Regions from separate parts of the Mus musculus genome. Here region 2 is reported to be linked to region 1. Evidence: microRNA targets listed by miRTarBase, many of them from high-throughput screens and not tested one by one. Region 1 holds a microRNA gene; the other region holds the end of a gene's coding sequence. Distances are from middle to middle.
The links. The annotated mature microRNA mmu-miR-5124a reads GGUCCAGUGACUAAGAGCAU and lies in region 1 at 1,578-1,597, shown strand. An mRNA with a match to its seed (bases 2 to 7 or 8) in the 3' UTR can be bound and repressed. Matches are read on the target gene's strand: a 7mer-m8 pairs with bases 2 to 8, a 7mer-A1 pairs with bases 2 to 7 and ends in A, and an 8mer does both.

Region 2: miRTarBase lists Hcn1 as a target of mmu-miR-5124a. Seed matches in the 3' UTR shown: 7mer-m8 at 2,120-2,126.

What each region holds. Positions count from the first base shown.
Region 1 is chr13:40,864,224-40,867,223 of GRCm38, forward strand. It overlaps Mir5124a (microRNA 5124a), which reads left to right and starts at 1,568; the gene lies at 1,568-1,639. It also overlaps a transcript of Gcnt2 not described here.
Region 2 is chr13:117,975,498-117,979,032 of GRCm38, reverse strand. Hcn1 (hyperpolarization activated cyclic nucleotide gated potassium channel 1) reads right to left here. Exons shown (of 8, transcript NM_010408.3): 8 at 1-3,535. The coding sequence ends at 2,799. Among named protein-coding and RNA genes, the nearest start is that of Gm3474, 18 kb to the right of the region's middle.

The sequences.
Region 1 (3,000 bases):
AAACTGCCAGGTAAGTTGAATCTTGCCTACTTAGACATTCCTGGTCAGTGGCTTCACAGTTATTGGGAAGCAAAGCCTAGGAGAGGATAGGTCACGGACAAAAGCTGTCCTTCAGGGACCTTTCTCCACCTAGGTTTCACCTCCTGACATTTCCACCATCTTCCAAACTGATGCCGCTGTGAAGCCATTGCTGAGGTCAAAGCCCCCATGATTTGATCTCTTCCCAAAGGCCCCACGCATGAACACCGCTGCCTTAGGAACAAAGCCTTGAAACACTTGAGTTTTTGCAAAGATGTTTCAGTTCCAAACTAGCACAGGGCCTGAAAAGGGGGTTCGGGTTCGGGGAGAGTTTGGTGATGGTGAGCCTGGAGAACAGGCTCTACCTGTTTCCAGGTTCCATTGACCTCTAGGCCAGACTCTGGACCCGCCCTGTTTTATCCCATAGTCTCTCTCCTGGATCCTGGACATGGCTGGCTTACTGTATTTTTATCTTAAGCGCTGCCCATGTTGTAATCCATTGAGACTGGTGCACTCCTTGAGCGCAGGTGCCAGGACCCAAGCTTTAAGTGATGGAAGCAGGAAACGGATCTGAACCACAGTAGTCTAGGGAATGTGGCTCATTTGTGGCCTATAATGTACCTGAGAGCTTACATCCATAGGAAACTTATGCTTCCCAAACCAATTGGGCTCATGAAATTTTTGAGATCACTGAGTCTATGGCCAGAGCTGTATGAGAGAAAAATCAATCAATCGGGGGTAGGGGATACATTTTACTACTAGTTGAGCTTAAATGATCTCTGTTTCGTATATGTATGAGAAAGGGGACCAGTTAGTTAGAAGACCCATGAGCTCGTTTGTGGGTTTGTTTTGTTGGTTTGTTTGTTTGTTTTGTTTTGTTTTGTTTTTTGAGACAGTGTCTCACTATATAACTCTGGCTAATCTGGAGCTCACCTACATATACCAGGCTGGGCCTTGAACATAAAGATTTTCCTACCTCTGCCTTCAAAGGGCTGGGACTAAAGGCATATGCCACCAGTCTGGCCTTCACCCGTGAGTTTTTTATAAGTACACAGTCTCTTAAGAGGGAACCAAGGTTCCTGCAGACTTCACTCACCTGTTATGTAGGTAGGTTACCAAGGAAACGAGTGTCATCATTTCTTTATAAATTTTATAAAGAGAAAGGGGTTCACTGTGTCTTGAATGCCTTACCTTACTCTATTCTCCCCTTTGCTGGCCTCTGGCTTTGTTCCATGATAGTCTGTGGTCCTGCACACCCTATAAGCCACTTCCTTTTTCCTCCTTCCCTAGCTGAGGTACAGAATTATTTCCTAGTTTTCTTGCGAGAGTACAATTCACACCTGTGTCATCCCGATGTCAGATACTGACAGGACTCAAGGCACAGAGACGTTCACTCACTACATTTTAAGCGACGATAATGAGGGTCTTAGTCGCAGGAAGTTACAACATAAAAAGTGAACCAACAGAATTGAAGACTACCAGAGGTTTTGACATTTTAATTAATTATTTTTTTAATTGTTATTTTCCTATGTCAGAAATTGATGGGGACTAGAAAGGTGGGTCCAGTGACTAAGAGCATTTGAGCACTTGTTCTTGCAGAGGACCCAAGTTCAATTTCTAGCACCTATATGGTGGCTCACAGCAATCTGTAACTCTAGCTCCAGGGGATTGTACAAGTGTGGTGCACAGCTGTACACACACACACCAAATGCCCACCCACAAAACAACAAACTAAAATTTTGTTTAAAATTATCCCAATGGATAGTTGAAATGACTTGCCTACATTTTGTGGGTCCACATTCACTGCCGGGGAAAATGGGTTGAGGTAGTCTCAGAGATATATCAGGCAGTAAAGTCCTTGCCTTGCAAACACCAAGACCAGAGTTCTATCCCCAGAAACACGTCTTTGCTATTTAAAGGCAGTTGTGGGGCACACTGGCAAACCTGACCAAGCCCACTCAGTCAATCAACAGGTTCTCCAGCGCAGGAGTGAGGATTAAAAAGAAAAAAGACAGTTAGACAACATTGTAGCATGACCCTGGTCAATTCTGAGACTGAAGGCAAATTTAATTTTCCCAATCCACTTTTTATACCATTTTAATTACATGCAAGTATTGAAGGCAAGCAGTACAATAAGGAAATAACAAGGCAGTAAGCAAAGTCCGGGAATTACTGCCATGACAGTTGTTTAAAAGGGCTTGTTATAATGACCAAAATACTTGAGCCCACTTCCCAGTCCAAGCCCCAAATCTTGCCTGAAGTTTACTTCTTTTGTTGCACCCTAAGATTAAAATTCCTGCCTTAACCCCACTTCCCTATTGTAGCCTAAAGTTAGATTCTCGTGGAGACTTACTTCCTTATCATGGCCTAAGGCCAGATTCCTGCCTAGGGGCACCCCAAAAGACCATCCACACAAACCTCAGTGCTGATGGGGGGGCTCCCTGGGGAGCCCACTTAAATACTCGGCTGGAATTCAGGCCAATAAGAGACCTTGTTTTAAAAAGGACCAGCTAGACAACACCTAAGGAATCCCACCAAGAATGCCTCACACGCCTGTGTAGTCTCACCCACAGGAACACGAAGAAAATGAAGCAGGTTGAACACTAGGGATCCTGTTGGCCCTTTCACCTTTTAGGGTCTCAAAGGCTCAAACAGAGACACGAGGTGATTTGTATATTTCATTGTAAGCAGCAATTTCTTCCTTCTTTCTTTCTTCTTCTATTAATTAATTGATTAATTAATGAATCTATTAATTGGTTCTTTGACACAAGGTTTCTCTGTGCCCTGGCTGTCCTGGAACTGGTTCTGTAGACCAAGTTGGCCTCGAACTCATGGAGATCCACCTGCTTCTGAGAGCTGGAATTAAAGGCCTGTTCCATTACACCAAGCTTTCCTTCCTCCCTCCCCCCTCTCTTCCTCCTTCTTTCTTTCTTTCTGTTTTTCAAGACAGGGTTTCTCTGTGTAGCCCTGGCTGTCCTGGAA
Region 2 (3,535 bases), 77 Mb from region 1:
TATTTAAATTACATTCATTCTATATCTGTAGAATTTCTATAACAATTGTATGGTGATTTTCAAAAACAAATCTTTTTGGAGATTATACAAAGAGAGAACAACAAGCAAATCTGTACTCCTCAATGAGTTAAACATTTGATTAGATTTCAACAACAAAATAAAATATTCATAATTTGGTTTATTTTCTTTTGAATTTATTAATAATCTTAATATATATTTATATATGTATGGCTTTGAGCAAAGACAAAAGAAATACTCTAACTCTTCCCTGGTCATACAGTGCAAAGTATAAGTTATTGTTCTACTTTCTCAGCAGTAAAAGACCCCAATACAGCTCTTCCCGTACAGATTAAAACTCCGTACTTGAGCTTAACTATGTACAGAGAAAAAAGGTCATGTTCTCCTAGCACTGTACCTTTACAAACACACACATTCATACATATGTGTATTTAATATACCCTGTATGGTTTTGTTACTTTAACATATAAACCTTAGTGTTCTTTGTCCATTCGAGTACAAAGTGAATAAAAATTTTATTGGTTGCACTGAATAACCATGCAATTCAATTTTGCGGATGTTCTCCAATAGTGCTCAAAAAATTGATATATAAAAATATTTTACTACGAAATGCATTAATCCTGCCAAAGGTAGACCTTTAATAATTTAAAGGACTAGTACATGATCTTAACAAGAAGCTAATTTTTAAATTTAATAAAATAAAGGAGTTTTGTACTGATATGTGATAGGTCTTGCAACTTTCCCATAGATTTTACGTAGGCTGCAGGATCTCTCTCTTACATCATTCCTAACAGGATACCATTGGTCACTAGCATTACAGGAATGACATCACGTTACCTAGCATTGCTGATTGTTTCACACAAGGTAGGATCCGTTAGCAATTAAGTGCAACGACTCATTTTGGTTTCATAAAAGGCAATGTAGATCCACTTTAAACCTCTTGCTTCTACTTTTGTTCTTGGTCCTCAAGGATACCTGGAGGCCCTGTCCCAATAGAATGTATGGTCTTTATGTTCTTAAATAGATCATTTGTGCCTGTAATGTCAAAGACCTCCATATCAGCTCACTCTCTTGAGTTACGTACAGAAGTCAGGCACTAGAGAGCCTGCTACTGTGTTCTACTCACCCACCACTTGTGTGAGGTGCAGCAAACACACATGAAGCAAGATCGCTAAGGGACTTCCCTAGATTAGGCTCCATGATGCTCACAGAAAGAATTAAGGAAACAAGTGAACAAACAGACAATGCTTTCAGACAGCTCAATTCCCCCCTGCTTCCCCTCACGGAGTCCATATAAGTTTCAGCACATTTGAAAGAACAAACCTCCTGTCTATCTAAGGACTATGTAGGTTACCACATGCCTTAAGATTTACTAACTGCTTAGTTACAATATACAAAGGGCAAAATGTGTATTTCCAAACAGATGTGGTGATATATAGTATTTATTTCTTCACATTAACATCACAATAAACTACCAACTAACATGAAGACACATAACACCTTTAACTCCAAAACAAGCTATGGTTTGCAAATGATTGCTTAAACAATAAGAACAGCAACAATATCAAATGAAAGTGAAAACCTCACTTCTAGATTTAAGTCAGAGATCCAAGTCAGCCTTTTAAGAATTTTAAGAGAGGCAATTAATGAATAGTTATACTCATCTAGAAGTGAGAAATACTGTCAGCCTTTTCTTACAATGATTGATTTGAATCTACTTTTTTTTTTAAGTTATTTTATTTTATTTTTTTTTGCCCCCGAAAGCATGCCAGGACCAGGTTCAGGTGCTTGATTATGTCAAGAAGGAATAAAAGTAATGATTTTTGGTGTCATACAAGCAATTTGTAGGTTCAAGCATACAATTTTTGCATTAAAGTATCGCAGGTTAAAAATGATATTGTAGGTCTCAAGCCATTGCATTACATTTGAACAGCTGTCACAATTAGAGTGTTTTGTGAAATTTAAAACTCTAACTTTTGAAGTGAAGCAGTAAAACTAAATTCTTAAACACTGACTTTTACCTTTCTACAACACAGAATAGTTACTTTAATTCGGGCTGGGAAAGTTATTTACAGCTAACATTGACTGCGTCTTGGTAAAAGTCCAGTGACACATGAAGACAAATATCTCCTCACTTTTCTCACAAAATCAATGAACATGTTTGAGGTTAGAGGAAGCCTTAATGGCAATGTTAGTCTCCTACGGTGGCTGAGCATGGAGCGTGTTCCTTCACCTAACTCAAAATTTAAAGCACCAAAATACAATTGAGAGCTATAAACTGGGATTTGTTTATTGAATCCCGCATAATTAACAACCTAGACGCAGAGGCACAGCTAATGAAAGAAAGCTTTGATTGGTGCTATGCTGGATCTAATTGGAGTTGCCTTTTTTAAAATCAAGAGTTTTGTTTCCATTGACTCCAAGAACTCTTCATAAAAGGGAGAAACACATATATCAAAGGAATCAAGTAAAAGGTTAGAAATCAATGACCTTACAACAATGTGTTAAATCCTTTAATGGTTTTAAAGAGAGGAAGACATGTAACACTGAATGTTATACAAGTCTTTTGAACTTCTCTTGGGCATTTAGATATATATATATATATATATATTTAATTATATATGTATATATGTTTTTACATTTGCATGTAGGCCACAGCTTCTAAAATATTTTTTTTTCAGAGTAGGCTATAGGGATCTATCGTGAGATAGAATAAAATAATATCTGAGAATATTCTGTTTATTAGAGTACTTCTTTTCTGCTTTGACAATCATCAAGAATCATAAATTCGAAGCAAAACGGGGTTTTTCTGCATCTGGGTCTGTATTTAGGACTGAGGGAGACTCTCTCTGCACAGCTGCTGGTGGAGGGGGTGCTGGAGGCACTCCTCGGTTGGGGGGGATGGCTCCCGAGGACATCTGTCGGAACAAGGTGACACGTTGTGGCACTGTGCTCCTGCTCCCTGCCTGAAGGCCAGTGCTGTGGACTGCTGCCACGGGTTGAGGGATAGAGGCCAGGGATTCGCCCACAGTGGGATGAGGTCTGGAGATCAAAGTGGAGACCTCATGGGGCAGAGAAGGCTGCGAGGCGGAAAGGGGCCTGACTTCTTTGGTCAGGTTGGTGTTATGAAGGGCTTGTGTGCTCTTGTGCACTTCATTTTTCGGTGTGGAGCTACCAGGTGTCTGTGGCTGCTGCTGCTGCTGCTGCTGCTGCTGCTGCTGCTGCTGCTGCTGCTGCTGCTGCTGCTGTTGTTGCTGTTGCTGCTGCTGCTGCTGCTGCTGTTGCTGCTGCTGCTGCTGAGTCTGAGTCTGAGTCTGCTGTACCTGGGACTGCGGTAGTTGCTGCTGAGGCTGCTGCATGAGTGACAGCTGGGACGCAGTGGGAGAGGCATAATGGAAAGTTCGTGTGGCCAGGGGGCTCTGTATAGGAGGACTGCAGACTGCTGTGGTATAGGAGCAGGGTGAAAGGATGGCTGAGGGTTGGGGCGTCTGTGTGCTGGGACTGGGTGAGTGCAGAT